3 linked regions of the Drosophila melanogaster genome follow. The protein of the gene in region 3 interacts with the protein of the main gene of each other region in a pairwise test. Each region holds a gene or a part of one and is shown on either strand. Other genes may lie near its edges.

Region 1 (3,760 bases), on a different chromosome or scaffold from region 3:
TAGGGAAAAACTTGTGATAAGAACTCTTGGCTCATGCTCGACATCAATCTGTTTTCCCCCTTCTGCATTAAGTCAACAATTTGATATGCATTTTGTTTTGTTGCTGCAAACACATTGCTCTCTGTCTTAGTGGGTTTTGGAATTTTCAAAGTTGCCTTAAGCCCCCGTGCTGCAACTTTCTGACAGCCGGTGATTGAATGTTTGGCAACGACATCGGGGATTAACTCGGCAGTTATCCTTATCAGCAGTCCGATGCCACCGGGGCCATTCAGACGCTCGTTGGCCAGACATGGCCCTAATTGAAGTGGCAACTTGCTTTAAACTAATTCCCGGCGATACACGCTTCAGCCATATGTTTATTCAGAAAGTGTGCCTGTGCAGATAAAAGGTATAAGATGAATTTGTTATTGAATAATGTCAAAATCGCATAGCCTTGCTAATTTCTTGTACATAATCCCTAAACGCAAAATTAAGCACATGTGTGTAATTTATTTGCTTAATTTTAATGCATTTTTGGTGTCACATTTCTTGGGTCTTTTATTAAGATTGACTACGCATAATAATTAGAGAGTTTAAACATTACGTTTTTGTTGCACAAAAAATGTTGTAAAAGCTAACAACATTTAACTGCATTTGATACAACAAAATTAAACCAATGTAGGTTTTCTATTTTAAGGGCTTTGCCTTGAGCTCTTGTGTATTTTTGAGATACATTTTACTTTATATAAAACGTAGATATTGATTTTTCTGATTAATAAATAGACAACTGGTTTCCAAGCAAATAAAGAAATTTAAGAATCGAGGCAATATTTAAGGATGTAAATGCGCAAAAGCCTTTAGGGTTTTACTCTCTGTTTGAATAAAATGTCATAAACAGCAGCCCACTTAATTAAATATTGGTTACTTGCATCTTTTGATATTTATTTTTTCCTCTTAGTTGCGACAATTTTAAAGTCTTTGTTGTTATCTTTTTTACATTTTTTTTATGATATCATTTTTTTTTACACCTCTCATACTCGAGTTATGAATATTGTAAAGGTAGAAAAATAAACTCCATTACTATATTGGTTAATGAAAGTTGAATACATTTCGCGGTGCCATGTTGCTTTACTTTGTTAAAACTTTTTTAAAAAAAAGTTGCATTCGCTTCCGTTCAGGATAATTAATTTTTTCGATAGCCCATTTTGATTTTTTCCATAATAACTCTTTTGCTGGCCGAAAACTTTTGTAGTTGTTTACATGACCCCCATCCCCCCCGCGGAGTTCAGCTGTTAGGATCCACAGCTCCTTATTTACCTTATGTAAATGTAAATGCTTATCAACAGGCAGCCGCGCTCCGTCTTATACGACGAAACAACGAGAGTCGAAGAGAGCGGAGCACGCTCTTAAATTGCAGAACTCTCTGATACAGTTCAAGTTAATACAAAGTAACGTTGAGTTTGTTTTGTTTGTGTGGGCGGGCTGGGCGGTGAAAGGTGAAGCAGGTCCAGAAATGTAATCAATAATTTTAAATATTTAATGCGCTAGCGAGAGAGTTTTTCCAGAAAAGTTGTGAAAAGAGGTATTTTCTTTTCAAAAACTATCTTAGCAAATGTGTCCAGTTTTGTATTCAATTTTGCATCAGAAACTATGTACCTTTATTTGTATTTACAAGCCAGAATTATGGACTCACCTGTGCCAGCAACAACTCACCTCCCCCTCACACAACCTACTCATACTTTTCTCATCAAACAAATGGGATCCACATGCGAGCGAGTTTGCGCCAATGATGAAAGAGAGTGGCGCTCTTTTAACCTACTCTTTCAAGTACTCTTTGCGACAGCAGGAAACGTCGCGCAAGGAAATCGCAAATGTTTCCTCTTTCGTGTGCATGTGTGTGGTGTCCTCCGTGCTGGTTCGTCTGTGTGCGTGTGGATGACATTGTGGCACTCGTTGAGGCAGCTCCAATTGACGGGCCAGTAGTCGTTGCGAAACTTTTGCTGGAGCAACGCGTCGGACAACTGGCGGTGTTGCACCTATCGTTATCGGCCATCGGCAATCGATTGTCGGCAATCGGCTATCGACAACAAACTATCGTTATCGGTTATCGTGTGTGTCGACCTTGGTGGTGATTAGTGTTAACGGTAACTTAACCATGTGCAACATCATCAAGCGAATATTGGATCATCCGCAGGACTCCAAAGGCCTCCGAATGTCCAGGTGAGCCCGTATGCTTTTCCACCCAGTTTTGCCACCCTGGCGACCCGCTTGCCACCACGAAAATTAACCTCGTTTGGCTTAAATGTAGTTAACTAAAGTTAAACGACCTCTAATGTCGATTTAATTATGTGAAAATAAAAGTTATGATTTCGTTTTTCGGCTTTTAGCTCATCTTAATGGGGTGATTAACGGTAATTCGCATGGTCGGGACGAATCCAATAAAAAGTTTAAGAAGTAATTGAAACTAATTAAAACTATGCTCACCGAAATATGCACCTAATATTTGCTAACAGCTTTATGATGCCATTAAAGACCGGCCAAAATTTGAGGGGGAAAAGTTGGCGGCGGCCAATCAAATTTGAGTGCTCCAACTTAAAATTAAATTATTTTGCTCTACTTTAACTTACATAACTCAAACCACTAATTGCTAACAAAACAATTTCAAATGGAGCTCATAAACTAAATCTTTAGTATTTCGCAGTGCCTGCAAATTCGACTTAACTTCTTACATGCCAAAATGCCATAATTATTGTGATTGTTAAAACGAACTAATGGATTGATTATAGCTATTCACAGCTCAATAGTTGAGGTTTAATGGGGACCTTGAAGTTATGATAATGAAATGTCTGATTAAGTGATAGATACAAAGCGCATAGTTCGGGCAACAAAAGGTAGCAAACCGTTTTAGCGCCTGAAAAACCCGCAGGCATTAAGATACCAGCTCAGATAGGCGTAGAGGTGATCGTGGGAACGAACTTTGACCCCTGCCAGTGCATTCGTTTTTAATTAAATGGAAGAGTGGACAGTGGAGGCCAAAAGTGACTTTTGAAATGGTCAGGCAGATAAAAGTGCAATAACTATAAAGCGAGGGTGGCGCAAACGCTATCGGCAGTCGGATCCTGGAGGTCGTGGACTGGGCGAACCCAAACACGCACAAATTTGTTAAGCGGGTCACGTAGTCCGGGAAATCCCATGCCATCCTAGCCAGCCCCTCTGGGTGTTGTCATCAACACGAAAATAAAAATAGAAAATTAAACTTGAAACGCGCAAAATGGCTACAAATGCTCTTGCTCTGCGCTGTGAAAATCGATTTCAATAAACTTTAATTCGTTTTCGTTTTCCCCACTGAAGTCATCGGATGTGGAAACCTTGAAAATGACGCAACAAATTAAATGCCAATAATTTAAAACAATTGCGACTCGAAATGCCAAGTAAAAGCAACCTTAAAAAGCGACCAGAGCGAGATAGCGTTTTGTTTATGGCTTTTAAATCTAATTAAATTCCCATAAAGACCGCGAGCGATATCAAAAAACAGCGCTGCACGTAGAGTAAATAAATAAATAAAAAAAAATGATTTTAAACTTCAAACGGGTTCAACGACTACCAAGCCCCGCAAATAATTGAAAAAGACAACTAGGGGGCGGAAAATGCAAAACGGCGATGGGCAACAAAGGGTTAATGTGGTGCAGTAAAGTGCGTGTGACAGTCCACGAGGGCAAACTAAAAAGGGGTTGATGTAAATTGCACTAATGACCTGCATTTTGAGTTTGAACAGCGATTC
Region 2 (3,760 bases), on a different chromosome or scaffold from region 3:
ATTGACCTATTAAAACTTAGCCAGTTAACTCCTAATTATCCGCGCATTTCGATCTTTATTCATATGCCACATCAATCGTTTTGAAATGTTACTATATATGAGTTCGATTTTTGTGTCAAGAACAAGACAAAATTTGACTTTAAAACTATCTTTCCGATTTTTCCTTAAAATTTATAATTTGTCTATCAGAAAGCTGCCTAGTATGTCCGCTTCAATTTGCTGCAGATGCAACGAGAAGATTTGGCCACGGGCAGTTTGCAGCTTGGGTAAGACGTACCATCCGCACCACTTCACCTGCAAGGAGTGCGGCCTGGTGGTTGATCCTAAACTGTTTTTCGCGGTGGACGACGACGTGGTCTGCAGCGAGTGCTATCTGGACAAGCATGCCGCTCGGTGCTCCGCCTGCCGGACTCCGATCCTAGAGCGCGGCGTGGCTGCTGCGGAGCGCAAGTGGCACGAAAAGTGTTTCCGGTGCGTGAGCTGCAGCAAGTCGCTGGTCTCGGCGAGCTTCTTTGAAGTCAACGGATACCTGTTCTGCAAGGCGCACTTCCGGGAACTGTTTTCGTCCCGCTGCGCAGGCTGTGAGAAGCCAATCGATCGTCGAGCCGTGGTCGCGCTGAGCACCAAGTGGCATGCCAAGTGCTTTAAGTGCCACCACTGCCGCAAAAGGATCAGCGCACGGGAATTCTGGATCGAGAACGGTCAACCCATTTGCGCAGCCTGCCAAACTGTAGTCCCGAGTCCCCGAAATTTGTCGGCCCAATAAATGTGTGGTGTCTATCTGGGGGCCTATTTGGACATTTCTTTTTCTTTTAATACCTGGGAATTGGAGTGGGGTCCGCAAGGACTGGCAGACTCTTCTTGGGAAGCTCGGTTCATCTCGCCACAGTTCCTGTGAGCAAAAATGTGCGTGTTATTTACTAGTCTGAAAACATCACTTGCAACTCACCAGGTGGTCTTCGAGGTTCCGGGCTCTCCGCATCCGTAGAGCAGCATATGGTGGGCCGTGTTCATCGTGGCATTAGGATTGAAGCCAACTATTTAAGATAGAAAGGTTAGTTGAAGTATTTAAGGAATGAATCTCATTCGAAAGGACGTACCAATATAGTAGGTGGTAGTTGGGTCGACCTTGATGGGCGTGCACAAGTACAGATCGGGCTATATATGTACACATATATATATTTGTTAGTTTTGTTAGAGAGAACAGGCATATTGGATAAGTCAACAAGTATTATTCAAATGGGAGTATGGCCTTCAGTGGGCCGTTTGCCCTTTTTCGCCACCCTCGTAAAAACAAATTCGTATCTACGGCGCAGGTTCGAGAAGTGCAATCTACAGGTTTCGGTTTCAGGGCCTTACATGTGGGTGGCGAATTGTGTGTATTCGGGTACAACTGAACATATGGAAAAATTTGCACAGTACTCTTATGGGTTTTCCCCGCGCGGAAGATACGGGAAAAACCAGAGCCTATATCGAGGACTTTTCTAATCTGATTGGAATTGTATGCGCACAGCTGCAGCTGGGCGAATCTGTTCATCCATATGGAGCGAACTCCATGATGTATATGTATGGCGTTTTTCAGGAACCTGGACTTACGGTCTGGGGCGAAACGTTGGGCATCAGGAATGGAAACGAAGCCGTTGCGCCTGTTGCGGAGTTCGACTCGAGATTCTGTTGATAAAGGGAGTTTTGGTAATCCCCCTCTTTCACAAGGCCATCCACACTGATCACTCCGATAAGCAGGAGCAGCCCCACGGAAGCGGCTATTTCGGATATGCGTGGCATTTTCACCGTATTCGAACTATATTCGAGTGTGCACTGCACTGAATACTTTGTGGAAAACGAAAAAAAACCTTCCTGTTTGGAAGAACAATACGTTTTGTATTGCTCTCTCCGATATTTTTCCACACGTAGCTAGGCCCAGTTTATATGTAAGTAAGTGCGTTCTAGGCAGCAATCGATACCCAGAGCCATTATATCGATGACGGCGCCAGGGCTGCAGGCTAAGGGTTAGCGGGACATTCAAATATATATAACTTGTTCGCATTAAAGTACATAAAACCAAGTGTAATTTTCAACCTTTCGAATACAGTGATTTAAAGACACCTCAACGCAAAAGGAAACCCCACAAAAGCCAGCCCAATTCAACGTGTCTGCGTTCCGTTCGACCCACTGGGGAATTCCCCTTTTCGCATGCGCCATTCAATTGATTTTCTACGAGCAGAGTTCCCAATGTTTACGGTGCGCTCATTTGGTTGTAGCTGTAGGCCTCGAGTTGGAACCGCTGGGACTTGGAAAACATACGACGCTTAAATGGAGGATCAGGGCGACGTGACAGACCAAGCCGCTGGTAAGCTGAGTAGTTCGAATGCCCAGTGCTCCAGAAACCGATGTGCTAATGGTAAAGCTATATAGATGTACACTCAAGAGCGGTACTAAATTATTTACAAAAAATCGTGTAATTCCCAGATGACCCCATTATGGGCAGCCACAGTCAGAGTCGCCAGAACTCGTCCGGCATGCTGAACATGATGGACGCCAGCTCCTTCAGCATGCCCCCCCCCAATCTGCACTCCTCAAAGGTGATCAACCCGAACAAGGCGATATTCACAATCGACGCGAACACAGGGCAAATTTTTATAGTGAACAACAAGGCCTGCCAGCTGCTGGGCTACACGTCGCAGGAGTTGAGGAACAAGGGATTCTTCGACCTGCTTAACGGCAAGACAGAGAGCCACATCTCCTCCCTGGCGGAGATGCAGATCGAAGGCGATGAGGGCCGGGTCGTCCTGCTAAGTGGAAAGGTCATCGAGATGAAGACCAAGTCGGGCGGCAAGATCCTGGTCTCTCTCTGGATCCGGCAGATCAGCAGCGATGGCCGACACATAGCCGTCGCGGAGCCTGTGGAGAGGCATATTTGCCACATCAGCACCGATAGATCCGGAGTGATAACATCCGTTGACTCCACCACGGCCACCATATTCTTTTATGAATCCGTCGAAAGCGTGGTGGGTGTCAGCATTGTCACCCTTATCCCGTTTATAAAGCTGCCCGATCCGGATAGCCGTGAGATCCCCAAGAGCCTGCGGAAGCAGAGAGCTACTGGTCGAACTACGGATAACGTAAAGTTTCCCCTGTGCTTGCTAATAGCCCTGGACGAGGATGCTTCTGCGGGGTATTCCCATTCGGGAAAAACCGGTCTAAATATCACCGTCTGGGTGTTCCAGAATCTTAGTGGCCTGATTGTGGTAGATGACATAGGCAACATACTGATGTGCAACCAGCCTTTCTCGCTGCTAATGTTCGGATATGGTCAGGACAAGATAATGAACATGCATATATCGGCGATCCTACCCAATTTCGGCAAGGACTCTCGCGAGGAGAAGAGTCCGAATGTTTCGAACACCTCGATAACCAGTAACGACTGGGAGCCGGACACGGATCCCCTCGTCGTGGACAACGACTCCTCGCTGCAATCCTGCAAGAAGAGCTCGACTAACAGGACGGCGCCCAACAACGAACAGTCTTCGGTGGGCGATGCCCACCTAAGCTGCAATCTGGAGAACAGCAGTGGTCTATTCTGCGACCTCCGCCAGCCAGATGATTGTACAATAGATGACATTCTAACACCTGTAAATGCCTCAAACAGTTTCCCCGCTGACGAGTTTGAGGTAGGATCGCAGTCGCAGGTGAATGAGTCGTCCCTTGACAAGGCGAAGTCCGCGTCCACGGAGACCTGTGATGCCTCCGGCAGCAATCC
Region 3 (2,419 bases):
TCGTTGGGCTACGAACTCAATTAGCTGCCGTGCGTAGCGTAATTAAGTTGATGCCACGCCCAATTCGATAACCTAAACCTATTCGGGCGTCCACTACCTGCCCACGCCATCCGCCCCCCAAATGATCCAGTTTTATGCCACCTGACGTCGCCTCGCGATGTGTATGCAAATACATTATGCGAACTGCTTTCGAGCTGGCTTAAATTAATTTATCACGTGCCAAAATAAAGCAACTACCGGTGGCTTCCCCCCTCTGCATTTTTCGTGTAATTAATTAAATTCGAGTCGGAGGAGCTCCTAAAAGTTCGCCACGAACAAAAATTGTTTGCTTCGCTAAAGTTTAAGTTGTGCTCTTAAAAATTAAGTTCTTCTTTTGCAATTCCGGGGCATAAAGCTATCCGCTTACACATAATGGCGCCCCACATTCGGGCGCCCCATGTGCCCTACTCAAGTCCAACTTTCTGGGTAATTATGTCTCCATGTAAGCTCCGGGCAGCAGTCGTCACTCAGCTGGGTTTTACCGATTTTCCGATTTTCCGATTTTCCTTTTCGGCTTTTGCTTTCTATCCGAAAAGAGGAATATTAAGTATTCATTGGGAAACGCAAGAGAAAATCGGTTGAAGTGGTTGCGGGAAGTTGCCGAAAGGCAGCGTTCGTCATTTCAAATTGAATTTTTAATTTTTAAATACTTACCAACTGGCGAAAAAGAGTTGCAACTATAATGCATGGCAAAACTGTGAAAAACGTCAATGGCACTTCCAATCTAAATAAGTAATTTTTTAAAGCTTAAGTAAGGGATTTATCAGTAGACCAAATTTTGTAAACTTTTGTTGGGTAAATTGATTCTTATAAAAAGGTATTATGGGAAAAACTGAGACTTAAGGAAATTAATTACAAAGCTCATTGATACAAATTTTCAACAGTTATTATTATTGAAACACATATTACAAGTTTTCTAAAGTCTCTTAAAAAGACTAAACACACTAAAACAAATTAGGCCAAGGCAAGGTAAATGGGATCTTAGTTAAATTAGTTATTAGCTAAACTAACTTTGCAAATCCCATTTGTAATGTAATGTAATCGATGCAAAGCTAAAATAACTATTTATTTACTGAACACAGCCCGTAAAAAGTGCGTATTGAATTTCCTTCGATGTGCGAAGTGCAAGTGATTAAACAAGTAAGTGCGGAGTATTACATGTGATGATGTGGTGCTTGACGGGAACTCAATTCTCTTGGCAAGTTCAAACAGAAATCTAATTTAAAGCGGCTAGAAAGACTGAAGAGATCTGAAGAGAGACGGGTGGGAAAATGGGTAATGTGTGTCTGTGGACTGCTCATTTCGCTTGTTTACGCATCCAACTTGCCATCAAGCATACGCCAAGTGAGCCATCGCAACAGAAAGGGTCATCGGAGAAATGTTAAACTAGAGCGAACAGCTTACGTAAGTGATGGGATTTAAATGCCGGAAAAACTTAAATGGCAAGCTTAACGCCGTATCACGTAGCATCCATATTAATTGCAACGTGTAGTCGGGTATAAATAGCTCACTACCTGCCACAGCCGATCATTCAGCACTACTCGACAAGATGAACGTATTCAATGGTTTCTTGCTAGTCTTCCTGGGCCTGGCCCTCAGCTCTGTGGATGCACAGATAGCAACACGCCAGGAAACCTCGGAGGACAAGGCTTGTGGTCCCCACGCCTACTACAATTACGCCCGGCACACTTGCCTGCCATTCTAGGAACCTTTCCAAAGTGTCCTATGCCTAAAGAAATAAAACGTTAAGGTACTAAATGTACCAGAAATTAATACGCGATGTTTAAGTTAAACGGGAAAAGAGGGTGCAGCATAAAAAGAGTGGACATTACATTAATGGTAATTCTATCCTTTTGGGAGATGCTTAAGAAGAAGATCATTTACAATACTTCTTACTGTTCAGAACCATCGATTTAGGTTAAGAAAATAACTAGATTTCTTATTATGAATGAATTGGTAAGCTCAATGGGCCATTATTTGAACGACCTTCAGCAGCTACCTCATCCACACCATGACTCCGAGGAAATGTTGGCAATACGTGGAAGAGCTTTCTTGAATGCACAACTTTATGCCCCTTTCACTGCTTCGCTAATTAATTCACCCCTAAGAAGAACGGTTTCCCAGTCCCAGGAAGCTGCATCATAAACCAACTTGTAATGGCGACTGCAGTCAGGCCAACGACTCTTATAAATGATTCTTAGAAAAAGGTATTATTGGAAAAACTGAGGCTAAAGGAAATTATTTACAAAGCTCATTGATACAACTTTTCAACAGTTATTATTATTGAGACACATATTATACATTTTCTAAAGTGTCTTAATTAATTTTAGCTAACTCAAAACACTAAAACAAATTAAGCCAAGTCAGTGTAAATTGGATC

The links.
Region 1: the proteins of Met75Ca (region 3) and Ddr interact in a two-hybrid assay, tested with the Drosophila melanogaster proteins (one large-scale study listed by BioGRID).
Region 2: the proteins of Met75Ca (region 3) and Phm interact in a two-hybrid assay, tested with the Drosophila melanogaster proteins (one large-scale study listed by BioGRID).

Annotation. Positions count from the first base shown.
Region 1 is NT_033779.5:6,251,131-6,254,890, forward strand, and holds the start of Ddr (discoidin domain receptor), read left to right. Parts: upstream 1-1,992; 5' UTR 1,993-2,199; intron 2,200-3,760.
Region 2 is NT_033778.4:23,986,518-23,990,277, forward strand, and holds the start of Phm (Peptidylglycine-alpha-hydroxylating monooxygenase), read right to left. Parts: upstream 1,939-3,760; 5' UTR 1,786-1,938; coding exon 1,597-1,785; intron 1,159-1,596; coding exon 1,101-1,158; intron 1,038-1,100; coding exon 950-1,037; intron 893-949; coding exon 820-892; intron 792-819; exon of another isoform or gene 767-791; coding exon of another isoform or gene 203-766; exon of another isoform or gene 98-202; intron 1-97. Other genes in the region: CG30178 (uncharacterized protein), read left to right, coding at 203-766; Pask (PAS kinase), read left to right, coding at 2,314-2,401, 2,470-3,760. UniProt on the Drosophila melanogaster protein: Monooxygenase that catalyzes an essential reaction in C-terminal alpha-amidation of peptides. Produces an unstable peptidyl(2-hydroxyglycine) intermediate.
Region 3 is NT_037436.4:18,471,534-18,473,952, reverse strand, and holds Met75Ca (Met75Ca), read left to right. Parts: upstream 1-1,568; 5' UTR 1,569-1,588; coding exon 1,589-1,744; 3' UTR 1,745-1,810; downstream 1,811-2,419.